Linked DNA regions of Notamacropus eugenii. The protein of the gene in region 1 binds, or shares a complex with, the protein of each later gene. Links are inferred from orthologs where the notes say so. Each region holds a gene or a part of one and is shown in the gene's direction. Other genes may lie near its edges.

Region 1 (7,281 bases):
CTAAGTATGTGCATGGAGGAGGATACAAAAAAAGGAAAAGGAAAGGAGCTCACCAGCTGATGGGGGAAGAAAACACACAAAAAGGAACTAAAAGGGAGCAGAATGTCTGGATGCAGGACATGAAGACCCTTGGACGTCTACTGAGTTCTTCCAGTCAGGGCACCAAATCTTATTATTTTTATCAAATTTTTCCTCACTTAAAAGTCCCTTCTCCCTCCTCCTTTAGCCTTATGATTAGCTTCATTTCAGTCATCCTCTGGCCTATACCTTAGGGAGTCTTAGGTAGCCGAGTAGATAAGGATAAAAGTGAAAGTAGCCTAAGGCCCACTCATTGTTTTGGAGAGGCCTCTTCCAATTAAATTGAGGAATTCACACACCTACAATTTCTAGGGTGGGGCATGACTTTGACTTTTAGACTTTGTATGACTTCAACTTTTTCTGGTCTTCCCTAGAACTACTTCTTCCTCCTCAGCTTTAACTATTGACGTCCCTATCTTCCTTTAAGTCCTTTATTTTATTGGAAGCCTTTCCTAAAATCTTTTAATTCTAGTGCCTTTTCTCTGTTAATTATTTCCTATTTATTCTGCATATATATAACTTCCTTTGTACACATTCGTATTCATATTACCTCTTCCAATAGATTGTAAGCTCCTTGAAGGCAGGCTGTCTTTTGTCTCTTTTTGTTGCCCTAGAACTTAGCACTGTGACTGGCACATTAAGTGCTTAATAAATATTTAATGATTTAATGACTTTCACACAAATAATAACCATTACCTGATTTATAACCTAATTCACTGAGAACATATTTGAAAGTATATTGATGTATTAGGAATAAATATATTAGGCTGAGCAACTCCATTTGGTTTTCAACCTCCATTTTATGACTAAATAGTCCATATATAAGCTATTTTGTTCTCCCTGTAATAAGATAAGCACTTGAGTGGTATAGTTTGGCCCACAAATCTGTTAAATGATTGGGGGCCATCTCCAGGGGCCATCTATATCATGCCACTGGACCCAGATGGCTTCAGAGGAAAATAGTGAGGCTGGTGACTTTGCACATCCCTCCCTCACTTAAATCCAGTTCACTTTCAAGTCATGGCATCATCTTCCTGAAGTCATTGTTATCTTCTAGAAAAGGACAAAGAGCAGCAAGTAATCACTAATGACTATTCCCCAAATCTGGTAAGTAACAGTTAAGTACCTGCAAATTGCATCAAGTATGTTGTCCCAAATCTTCCAAAAGTCCCAACGTTTAGTAATGACATTAGGAAACTAAAACTTTGATTGGTAGTTCTGTAATGGATAATTTCATCAGTAGCTTAGGTAACTAATCACCAGTCAGAACATAGACATAACTTGGGAACTCCCTTCACCAGAACCATAAAAGCCCGCAGCACTAGAGACCCAAGCCTTCACCCTGCTCTTGTGTTTCAACTAAGGCAGGCTTCTGAACATTCTCTCAAGAACAGTGCAAAGTGCCAGTTATGGAGACTCACCAGAAAGCCACCTCCTCAGGAGCAAAGGAAGGAAGGAAACTTTCCATGAGCACTGGGATGAGACTTAAGACCTTTAGGAATCAGGTTGCTGGCTTGTTCCTAGAGGGGTTGATGATATTAGTGTATTATCAGCCTATTAATAAGCATAATAATGACTAAATGTGGTGGCAGTAAAAATTTGGGCAAAAAATACTAACCCTTAGCATTTGCTTCCTGTGTTCTTTGTTCTTGGCATGTGGAGTTAAGGATCTCTTACTCAGGACACAGCTGGCCTCAGACCTGGGTTTCTGAGGGAGCAGCATGGGGGATTCCTTCTGCTGGTCCTCAGGCCAAGGTTCCTGCCCAGAACAAAAATAACAATAGCACTAGCCTAACAATTTAAGATTTGCAAAGTACCTCCTTATATATTGACTTATTTGATTCAGGGGCTGGAGAAGGTGCAAGCTGCAGTTAAGCAGTGTCCAGTAGTGACCAGTGGGACAAGGCACAGACAAGAAGAATCCAGGAAAGTCCAACAGCATCCAGTCAAAACTTCACCACCAAGAGCAGTAGAAGCAGCACCAAAACGAACAGATCTGCAGGCTTTTGGAGAGGTAAATATCCCTTTCTGGCTTCCCTTCCCTATGAGTGCCTTGGTCTCACATGTGTTTCCTATATGAGCTTTCCTATTTGTGATCTCTGTTTGTGTTAACTCTTCCCATTGACGTCGGTTATTAGTGGGAAAGTTTGAACTGTTCATTTATGGAAATGTTTAGCTGCTACTTTTTTTAAAATTATATTTCAGCAATGTTTTTGCTTTGAGCTTATCATATACTCTGGGTGACTATTGAAAGTAAATACATCATTGAGGGTTTGTGGGCCATAGTCTTAGGAATTCAGGTCTTCCCTATACCTTGAAATTCTGTGGTAGCCAACCTCTCCTGAAGGGCAGGGACTGGGTTTTGGTCTTTCTTTGTATGCCCAGTGCTCATCCTAAGTGGGTACCTGCATAGACTTTGGCCTAAAGGGGCCAAGATCTCCCAGTGCATCTTGGGTTATCTCCAGTCACCCTGATGAATATCTGGTCACTGGATTCAGATGGCTCCGGAGAAGATAGGCTGGTGACCTGCACCACCCTCCCTCAGTCAAAACAAAGTCAAATGCAGTCATATCATCATTTCTCTGACAGCATGGTCTTCTTCGGCAATGAAGGATGAACACAAATGCTTAGCATAGTTCCTATCACTCAGCCTCATAGATGTAATTTCCGGGTAATTAATCATTTTATTAATAATGCCAGCATGTTTATTAGTAAAAGATGGTCATTTACCTATTTCTCTTGGACCAAAGATTATCTTGGTTGCGGCTCAAGCTTGTATGCCCATTGGAAGAGGAATGTTTACAAGGGTAGCCATCAATTCTGATTAGCTAACAGTGAGATTATGTGGATTTCAAGGAGGGGGCTCATCCAGGAACTTTGATTATGTCACTTCCTTCCTAAATTACTGCCTTGGGCAATCTATTCAAAGAACTGATTCCTCACCCAGTGCAAAATAACTTCTCCAACCACATAGGGTCTGAACAAGAAAGTTCAGTCTCATTATCAATAACACTCCTTGAGAGACTGAACTTTTAAAATCAGGACTTAAGAAAAAAGGGGGGAATGGCCCCAAATCATTGATTATTAACAATGATTTCTCTCACTTTTATTGACTGACTCCCCCTGGGGTACTACATTTTTATCCCCTACTAGATTTCCCTGCTTTTCCAGCCTCTGGGATATCTTTTTGGATTCCCCCACTTGGATTGCATTTTATATTGGTGGTCATCTTTCACTACAGAAGTAGTTGCCAATTTTTGTTTGTTTGTCCTGAGAATCCTTTTCACCAGGAACAACAAAAAAGAAATGTGTTGTGAACCCCTAGGATAATTTAATACACTACCCACTGGACCACCTAGAGGTTTTGAACGGTGCCTACTGGGTTGTATAATGATAGCTAACATTTGTGTAGTATTTGCTAAGCACCTTACAGTCCTCCCACTGGATCCTCACAGCCACCCTGGGAGACAACTTCACTTTATAGACGAGGAAACTGAGGTAGAGGTTGAGGGGCTTGCCCACCCTTGCCCAGTTAGCGCATGAAGCCACACTGGCACTCAGGCTTTGCTGACTCCAAGCCTGATTTCTACCTCTGCCTTGAAGGCAGAGACCACCCATGGGAGGAATTGGGATCCACAGCTCTAGGAGCACCTATTTTATGTTGCACACTGCGACAGCTGCGCCTACCTGTAATGGAAAGGACTGGTGAATTTCAGGGTCTGAGGCTGCCTTCGACCCTAAAGGTGTGAACACAGGCAGGTCACGTGATTTGTTTTCTCCTCCATAAAATGGGGAGAATGCCGACTGCGGGGACCCGCCTCTCATGGGGTCTCAACGGAATTCAAAGGAGTTTAACAAAAGTGTGTCTAGTGTGTACCAAACTTCAGAGCTAGAAGAACAATTACTGTTTTTTTAAAGTTTTTTAAATTACTGAATTTTTACATTTTAAAGTATTTTTCAAAGTATCTCCTTTCCATGATTTTTCCCCCACTATTTTTCTTTCCGATTTTAAATACTAGCGGCCGTATCAGCCGTGACTTTCGACAAAAGGTTCCCTTGATTTGCCTCTCTGGAAAAATTCCCCCCAAGAACTTTCAGTCCCGCAAAAGTCCCAGGGAGCATGCGCAGGCGTGGGAGCCGCGCCAGCCCCTAAACAGACCGTGTGGGGGGAGGGTTAGTGCCTTAACGGACGGCTCCGGGAGCCAATCAGAAGGCGCTCCATGGGGGAGACGGGGAGGGGAGGCTCTTCTTCCTGACTAAGGCGGCCGGAAGTCGGCGGCCATAGACGCGGTTTATCCGCGACGCTCTAGAAACTGCGTGAAGTAGTGGGAGGTGAGTGGCGATGTCAGCTGGGGACGTGGGATCTCGGCGCGGTTTGGGTTTTTTTCTCCCGGGGGATTTCTCGGCAGGGAAAGGGCCAGCGGAGCTGCAGGCTCCCGGCTGTGGGGAGGGCGCTCGGCGTGCTCGCCCCTGCCCTTTTCTGTAAACATCCCCGCCCCCTCCCCCCCGATTTACCCGCCCCCTCGCGGCGCCCCGGCTACGGCGGGGGTCGCGGCCCCTCCCCGTGGAAGGCCTGTGGGTGTGGGAGCTGGGCCCCCCCCCCCCGCCCCAGTCGGGCGGCCCCCTGGACCCCCTGCCGAGAGGCTCGTCCCTGCGGGCCCCCGGAGGAAAGTGAGACTTGGAAGGTTTGGGGACTGTGCATTTTCCCTCCCGGTGCCTGCGGTGTTCCTCCTCCTCCTCCTCCTCCTCCTCCTCCTCCTCCTCCTCCTCCTCCTCCTCCTCCTCCTCCTCCTCCTCCTCCTCCTCCTCCTCCTCCTCCCCCTCCCCCTCCCCCTCCCCCTCCCCCCCCTCCCCCTCCCCCTCCCCCTCCTCCTCCTCCTCCTCACGTCCTGGCACCCCCCGACTCTCCTCTAAGACCCGCCAGCCTTAACTCGTACCTTTAGTGCGAACATTTTCCCTCTGTGTCTCGGCACCCCCCCATCTCTTGTTTGTACAGAGGTGTTTGTGTGCCCCCCCAACTCTTGTTTATATAAAGGTGTTCGTGTGCCCCCCCAACTCTTGTTTATACGGAGGTGTTCGTGTGCCCCCCCAACTCTTGTTTATACGGAGGTGTTCGTGTGCCCCCCAACTCTTGTTTATACGGAGGTGTTCGTGTGCCCCCCCAACCCCTCATCGAATGCTCCTGGAGGGAAAACATTCTTGGTGTTCCCGTACTTAGCGCACACCTTGGCATAGGATCGCTGTTGACTTTTGCCGCCGTTTTGTCAGAACTGAATGAAACTCATTTTAGAGTGTAGAGGTGGTCGTCATAGCCCAAAAAATCGGTATTGATGCTGGTTCTTTAATGTTTCCCAACCTTGTACGTTAGTGGTCCCGTTTGGTTAAAAACAGCTCAGCGAAGCAGACGTTTATATACCTATTTTACAAAGGAAAAAGGAGCTCTGAGAGGTTAAGTGATTTACACGGGGTTATTTTGGTAGTGAGTGGCTCAAATGAATCCACAAGCATTTACTTCATGAGAACTTGGGGATTCAGAGACGAAACAAAATCGTTTCCTACAAACTTAGGTCTAACTGCACGGGACGTAAGGGGCGCACCAGCAGCTGGAAGGTGGTGTTTAATTTAAGGAGGTGAGAAGAGACTCTGCATGAGGACAATCTTTGAAAAAAGCAATGGTTATAGGATATAAAGGGATATTTTTAATTCACTTGACTAAAACCCCTTTACTGATTAAACTTTAGCTTGGTGGTGTTTAAAGCAATGTTTTCAAGATCACACAGGTAGAGCGGGAATTAAGAGTCTAGCAGTGTTTTTGTTTTTTAATTTGCAAGGTGTAGTGGTTTTTACCATTATGGCCTTGTAGCTTAGAGGTAGGACTTTATCTAGATAGGATTTCTTTGGCTAACTGGTAAGGAGACAGGCAGTTCCAGGTGAGGGGGAAAAGAGTATGTTATTTTTGGGACAGTGAGGAAATTTACCATACCAGTTGCGGATGCTTTCAGGCCCATCACCTTGTAGTTATAAGGAGCATTGGTGAGGGAAGACTTTGGCTAAGATCACATAAATAAGTGCCATCTGAGACCTTGAACCTGTGTATTCCAGTGGTGTCCACTGCCTCTGTACCCTTTTTCAAAGACACCTTCAACCCTTTCCCATCCCAAAAAATAAAGAATGTTGGACTTCTTTTATTTCCTTTTCATATGTGAATTCACATATTGCTAGTATTTTTATTTGATTTTGATTCAAGAAAACTTCAACTTTGGAGGGACCTCACCCTCAGTGGCCATCTAGTCCAACCGATTCCTCAGAAGGAAGTCCCATAAGTAGTCGTTAAGAGCCTTTTCATGTTCAAAGCACTGAACTAGTCGCCAGATGCTGGTGTTTTATATATACGTATACACACACACACATATATACACACACATCTATATTATATATTATATATATAATTATATACAGTATATAGTATTATATATATAAATAATTAAAACTCTTTGCTGTTAGGGAGCTTAAAATTCTCTGGTCTAGAATTGCCAGTTGGTTATTGGATATGTCTGACTTGAATAATCCAAATAAAGGCACTTCACACTAAACATTTCCAATACATAATTCTTTATCTTTCCCCAAACTTAACTTGCTTTCCTATTTTTGTTGAGGGTACCCCCAGTCCTTTAGTCCCTAGTTTACAGCCTCTTAGTTATCCTCAAGAAACACTTCATTGCCTCTTTATGCTTTTGGATAAATCACTTCACTTTCTTGAGTTTATTATCTCCAAAATAAGAGGATTGGCTCTGAAGATGGCCTCAGAAATCTCTTAGGGCTCTAGATGCATGATTCTATGATTCTGAGTTGCTTTTCCCATCTAGTCAGTTGTTTTGTTTTTTCCTTTTTCCACATCTCTCAGATCCTTTTTTTTCCCCCTGCTCTATCATGTAGTTCAGCTATTCATTCTCTCTTAACTGTATGATTACAATTGCTTCCTAATTAGTTTTCTTGCCTCAGATGTCTTCCCCCTTTCCAATCCATTCTCCACACAGCTATCAAAGAGATATTCTTAAAGGAGCAATGATAGTCATCTGCTTAAGCTTCATTTGGTCCCTTATTGCCTCTAGGATCAAATACAAACTTCTCTCTTTGGACTTTAAAGCTTTTGGCAATCTGTATCCAGCCTACCTTTCTGAACTTATTACCTCTGTTCACACA
Region 2 (7,059 bases), on another chromosome or scaffold:
TGAGAACAAAATAAGTGCCCTGCTTGTCTTTGTCCCTGTCTGCTCTCCTCTGAGCATTTTCAATGTCACTTGACATTCTTCTCTCCTTTAATTCCCACACCTAACCTTCCTTTTTTCTTTGTTGACAATCAACAGGAATTTATGGAGCACCTGCTAGGTGTCTGACATGTGCCTTGGGCTGATGACAGAAACTTAGGGGCTGGCCTAGAAAAGAGCCTATATTCCAAATCCAACACAAAGTAGTTGTATAAGTATTTATAGGATAAAGATACAGATAATGTCAAGAAATACAAAGTAGTTAAATACAGGGTAGTCTGGAAGGGGAGGGTACTGCTGCTGTTTAGTGGGGGGAATGAGGAAAGACTTCATAGAGAAAGTAGTGTTTGAGCTCTGTCTTAAAGGAAGACTGAGAGAGCCTCCCTGACGTAGAGGTGAAGAAGGCTGACATTCTGGCAGTGAGTACCAGGAAGAGCAATGGCCCAGGCTTGGGAAGTGGAATATGAGGGGGCTTGAGGTCCAGTGAGGCTGGGGTCAGGATGTGAAGGGTTTTTAAGGTTAAACAATTCATTATTTTATCCTAAAGGAAGTGGGAGGCAGGGACTCTGATTGTTTGAGAAGGAGAGTAACAAGGTCCCATCTGTGAGACTTGAGGCAGGAAGACCAATCAGGAGGCTGCTTCAGCAGAGCCTGAGCTGAGGTGGGAGTCAGGTGCTCTGGGGCCATTCAGACGGCAGCCCATCATTTTAGAAGTGCTGAGAGTCCTGCAAAGGCAGTACATCATTTCATGGGTGGGGGACAGGGGCTGGGCCTCCCAGAGACTGCGATTTTCCTTGTGTTCTCTTAGCACCTTCTCTGGGCTCAATGTTCGCTGCAAACTGACCTTTCTCTCTCTGAATTTTGCGTTGAGGTTGTCGTTAGTATTGTGCGCTCTTAGTCCATTGGCCTCCTTCTTGTGGCTGCTCCTGCTGTCACCACCTCAGCCGCCCCCACTACAGCCAGAACCAAAAACAGTATGACCAGTATGTCAGGGGGAATTCTCAGAAGGCACTCATGAAGCACTGAGACCTATGGAAGAGGGGGCACATGCAAGAGGCAACAACTCAGTAAGAAGAGATGCCTTGGTCAAAGGGATGTACTTAGGACTACATGGGGGCTGGGCAGCCCTCACTTTTCCCTATTTGTGGAGGGATTAGGCATATCCAAGGCCTGATGACCAAATCAGCCCCATCCCCCAGCAGGAGTTTGGGGGATATTATTGATTGATCATAGCGGTGGGGGTGGGAGGGTGGAAACTGGGCTTTTAGGTTCTGATGGGCTAATTAAGCAGCCCCAAGGTGGGGGGAAGGATCCAGGTAATGAAGAGGCAGAATTGTTATGATCACCATGCAGGAACCCCAGAGTAGGTGGGCCCTACGTTGTGTTTTCCCATTTATATTTTTGGAAGCATTATGTGTATTGTTTTCTTTGTTCTACTTACCGTACATCAGTCTCTGTTTCCTTTTTTTCTTATAACACTATATTATGTTGTATTAAAGTACCACCCTTTGTTTAGTCATTCCCAAATGACAGGTATCTGCTTTGGTTTCAGTTCTTTGCTAGTACAAAAATGACCACTATAAATATTTTGGTGCATATGGGGATCTTTCCTTTTGTCTTTAACCTCTTTGTGGGGGGGCATATTTCTGGCAGTAAAATCTCTTGAGTCAGAGAATGAGCATTTTCGTCACTCTCTCTGCATAATGCCATAGTGTTTCTAGATTGGTTGAATTATTTCATAGTGCTCTTAATAAATGCCCATCTTTTGTCATTTTTGCCAGTTTGCTGAAACCCCTGAGTTCTTTTGATTTGCATTTCCTTTTTAATATTAACTTGGGGCAGTTTTTTTTTTTTTGGCATGGTTGTTGATGTTTTAAAATTTTTTTGAAGATTGCGTATTTTTGTTTTTTAACCACATATTTATTGGAGAATGACTTGTGGTTTTATATGTTCCCTTAGTTGTTTATATGTTTTGCTTTTAAACACTTCTCAGAGATTCTTTGCTCCCTAACCCATCATTTCTTTTATTTTTATTCTAGTTCTATTGATTTTGTTCATGGAAACACTTTTCAATTTCATGTAACTGAAATTATCAGTTTTATCTTTTTTGAATCATGTATCCTTTATTTGCTAAGAAATTATTCTTTAGACAGCTGTGAAAGGTACCTGATCTACTTATAATCTAAATTTTTAGTAAAATTATCTTTAACATTTGGGTCATCAATTTTGAATTTATTATTGGTATAAGACAGAGGTGTCAAATATGTGGTCCATGTGGGAGGCCTGAACCAGATTAAAATGTCATTGGGAAATATTTTGCAAAATGAATAAAAATGTAGTAAAACAGTTAATGTTAATATGTAGTTTTCTAAGCCAGTATGCACCTACTGGGATCCTTATGTGTAGTTGTTTCTATTTGACTTTGATGTCACTGGTATGAGATGACAGTAGTGCTTTTAAAGTTCTAATGGCTGTGTATATGTTATCTCACTTAAGACACTGGTCTAAATCTAATTTCTTCCAAACTGTTTTCCATGTTCCCCAGTACTTAATATCAAACAGGGAAGACTTACCTAGGTAAATTCTATTTTCAGGTTTATTGAGGTTATATACTTCTCTGATTCTTCCTTGGCTAGTCTTTTCTGTTGATCAACTTGAACGAGTATTGATTTTGACAGTTACTACTTTCTAATGTAGTATTGTCATTCTTATTATATTGGCAAAGCCCAACCATGAGCAGCAAATATCTGTTATTTGTTTTTTCTTGAAATAGTTTTGAACTCTATAGAGTTGATTTTGTAATCGTATCCCTAGTCCTCCACACAGTGCTTCACAATACTTAATAAATGCTTTCTCATTTATTCATTTTACACAAATATTGACTGTAACTCTAAGATATCTTATACCTTTCATAGTTATTTTGAAAGGGGTTTATTCTTGCCGTGGATTTTGTCATTACTATATAGAAATATTGTTGATTTTTGTGGGTTTATTTTGTAGCCTACTTATTGAAGCTGTTAATTATCTACATTAATTTCTCTGCTGATTCCCTAATGTTTTTTAAAGTAGATTGTCATGGCATCAGCAAATGAAAGTAATTTTGTCCTTTTTGGCTATCTTTATGCTGTTACTTTCTTTCTTTGTTGGAAACTTTCTAGAACTTCATCAAATAACACCATGTAAAGGGAACATCCTTGCTTTGCTTTTATATTTATTGAGAAGCTTTTGTATATATGGTAAATAATGCTAGCTTTTGGTTCTAGATAAATACTTTAAATCATATTTTATACTTATTCTTCGTAGGGTTTTTTATTATAAGTAAGTGCTATAATTTGTCGCAGGCTTTATCTGTAGTTATTGATATAATATGATTTTCAAATTTTTTTTAAAAATTTGATTAATTATATTGTTTTCTTATGATGAGCCATCGTAATATCCCTGGTATAAATAAAATATATAGGGGATAATTTCTTGGATAAATTGTTATTCTTTTTTGCAAGGATTTTATTTAAAATTTTTAATTAATATTTGATGGTGGTCAGGTCTTTTGATTTGTCATGTTTTCAGATTGTGATTCTTAAGTTGTCTCTGTGCATATCTATATTTAAGGTTAATGGCTTTGACTAATGTACAGATTGTTTGTTCTTTTAACATTTTCACCTTTTGCTATTTTTTCCCCCCAAGATGTTCCCCCATTTAAGAATTTTTGTATTCTAAATATATTAATCTCTCTTTTCCTTCTTTGGAAAAACTCTCCATTGTGTATTCATTAAAAAAAAGAGAAATGAGCTAATTTCTGCATTAACACATTTTTGGCTATATTAAATGACATTTTTTTTCTAATGGATTTCATTTTTCTGTTGAAGAATTCTTGAAATCCATGCATGCTCTCTATATTTAATCAAACATTGGTTCCTTTTTCTTGTAATGTTTATATACTTTTTTAGGACTTCGTACTTACATTCCTTTTAATTTTAGAATCTTCTCTCTGGATTTATCTATTTGTACTCTTGGGTTTTTTTTTGTTTTGTTTTTAGCTTTTCTCTTTTTAAAAATTTGGGAATTTCAGCCCTTTTTTCCACCTACATCTGACTTTTTGACTTTCTGGTCCAAGTTGCAGAGTTGCCCTGGTCTCCCTTCACCTGGAGTGATTCCATGTTCACCAGCCTGGACCTTAAGCGAAGTAGCCTTGGAGGGCTCAGTAGTTACCCCAGGGACTTTGGGCTTTCATCCTTTCCTTTCCCAGCTGGGCTGAATCAGCATTTGCTGCTTTTTGCAGTGATGAGGGGCTGGTGGGGAGGTTGTTCTCAACTATCTCTTTAGCCTTTGGGGTTCCTGTACCTAGGCAGTGTGTTTCCTCCCTTCACCCTAACCCCCCCCTCCCCCCCGGGGGCTCTTGACCTGCCATTGGTAGTTGCTACATGAGTAGCCCATTTTCTCTTTTTATCAAACATTTCCCCAATATTTTTTGCACCTTTTCTTTTTTGAAATTTTCTTTGGAGGTGGCTCAACCTCCTGCCCATATACCTCATTTTTGCTGTTTATGTGATATGAATTTTCATTTCTTTGGAGATTTTTCTGCTTCATGCCTTGGCTATGTAAGAACACTAGTAGAATGTTAGTATTAAAACATAGATCTTTGTTTCTGGGAGAAGTTTGGGTCACAGAAGGAACTTGGCAATTTTTCAAAGACATCCAGTTTCCTTTCCTCCTCTTGTTTAATTATGAGGCCAACTCATTCATTATCCATTTGTACTGTCTGTCATATATACGTACATATCCACATACATATGTATACATAACACACGTATGCATATACATACACACTGATGGATAAGCTCTGTAGGTTGGCCATCTAACCATATGTCAAAATTTGGACAGTAGATGTTATTCATAGACTTAGTTTTTCCTACGTGCATGGTCAGGCCAAACTTGTTTGAGTGGTTATGAATCTCTTCCAGGAGGATCTGCAGTGCTTCGAAGACTTGATTCAAATAGCACCATGTCACCAGCAAATAGGAAATGAGACTTCACCATTCACAGGGAATCTCTTTTAAATTTGGACTTTATACAAATCTTCTCCATTACAGTGATACTTGAATACTTTTGGTGAGCGTATATCACCCTGTTTTATGCCTTACTTGATGTTTAATGTCATAGTGATTGTTGAATAAGGCTATTTCTGTTACATCTTTCAGGGAAACTTGAATGATTTTGATGTATGGGTGGGAGTTATTTTGTGGGAAGAATTCTTTTAAGGTGGCATTTTATTTTACCAAATCAAAATAAAATTAATATTTGACAAATAAGCCCAGGAGGATCTCGTCTTCACTATATCTTTCATCAAATGCTAGAAAACAAAGAACATAACCCATGGTAAAGCAGTGATTGCAAAAGCCTGCTCCCTCCTGACTCCACTGAGCCTTCCCTCAATGCAGATCCTGAGGAATCTCATGGAGCTTTTGTATAGATGAAATTATCACCATGTCTTTGGTACCTATTCCTTCTGGATTCACTCTTTTATGCTCTCCTAATTATGCAGCTTCAGCACAGATTTCATTTTATGTATATGTGGTCCAATCTGGCTGCTTTTCCAAGCTTTTTTTCTGTTTGGTGCCATTTCTGCCTCCTCTGTCAGACCACCTGGGATTGTTCTTGAAGGTGAAAAAATGTCATAAAATATTTTGCAGATATTTTCTATTTTTCTTCTGTTGTCTTCCTATTTTCATAAGAATGAAAAATTTAAAAAATTTTTTAAAATGCCCATGAGTTAACTCACTTTGCTTATTAGTTGATTCCCTTGCCAAACTTTTTAAAAGCTGATTTTACTCCACTTACTTTCTCAAACTTTATAAAATAGTATTTCTTATAATCATAGCCTTTTTATGACCTTGGGGAAGCCATCCTATCGCTCTGCGCCTCACTGTTCTCATTTGTAAAATGAAGGAATAGGACTAGATGACTATCAACATTCCTTCTAGCTCTACTTCTATGAGCTTGTGATTTTTGGGAAGGATTTTGCAAATAAGTGTATTCTAAACTGGTATTGTCTTTGGCTGCCTATCTCTGTTCACTTGGCAAAGAAATCAAGTTTTTGTTGATTAAGTTGCTTTTTAGGCTTTTTGGTTCTTCGTGTTATGGTGACTGATCTACACTAGTTAAACTAATGTGTAAATTATTAAAATTGGTGCCTGTCATTTTTCCTGTCAATTACTCATTTTTCATGATCAATTACTTGTTCAGATACTTCAGATTTGAGTTTTTAAAAATTGTATGACAAGTTAATGGTCTGACTATAGTGAGATAACTGATTCAAGGCTGACTTTACCACATCCATAGTGAATCTTTTCAGATCTATTAAAATATAATCAATTATATGTATTTTCGGTAGTATTATTCAATTGATTCATTTCTAGAATAAAGTATTGATGAAATAAAGATTTTAAGCTTCTGAGACACAAGTCTTTAGCCTCTGTTATTTTTTCTTCCTGACCCATATTTTGTGCATATTCCTCAACATTTTTATTCATTTGACAGAAATAAAACAAGTTAAATATTGGTGGTAGAAGTTGTTTTAATAGGATTATACAATTTAGCTTTGGAAGGGACTTTAGGGAAAATCTAAAGTCAGCTACCTTAGTTAAGGAAGCTGAGCCCCAGAGAGGTTAAATGAGCATTCTCTTCTCCCATTTCACCTCCCCACTCCTTTATAGCATTCACCTCCCAGTGACTTCACAACCTTTTTCACAAGATAATTTTGTTAAATACAGTAACCAAATCATTATCTACTTTCTGATGTAACTGGAATATTATAAAAATAAATCATTTCTTTAAAATATTGTCTACTTTCTAATATAAAACAGTTATCTCTTTTCGAGTTGTTAGTCATGTTTATTTAAGGTTACACTAAAAAATATTTTGACTTTTTCTGACATGATCTATTTGCCTGTAGCTAGCTAGCTCAGCAAACAGCACATGCTTATAGCACACCTACTATGTTTAAGCCCTATGCTGATATCTGGG

What was found. The genes of interacting proteins can lie anywhere in the genome.
Region 2: MED7 (region 1) and MED13L share a complex: the UniProt entries of both Homo sapiens proteins name them as parts of the mediator complex. The link is inferred for Notamacropus eugenii from reciprocal best matches to the Homo sapiens genes MED7 and MED13L.

The regions. Positions count from the first base shown.
Region 1 is NC_092872.1:386,117,650-386,124,930, reverse strand, and holds the start of MED7 (mediator of RNA polymerase II transcription subunit 7), read left to right. Parts: upstream 1-4,275; 5' UTR 4,276-4,410; intron 4,411-7,281. UniProt on the Homo sapiens protein: Component of the Mediator complex, a coactivator involved in the regulated transcription of nearly all RNA polymerase II-dependent genes.
Region 2 is NC_092875.1:29,411,339-29,418,397, forward strand, and holds the start of MED13L (mediator of RNA polymerase II transcription subunit 13-like), read left to right. Parts: upstream 1-4,057; 5' UTR 4,058-7,059. UniProt on the Homo sapiens protein: Component of the Mediator complex, a coactivator involved in the regulated transcription of nearly all RNA polymerase II-dependent genes.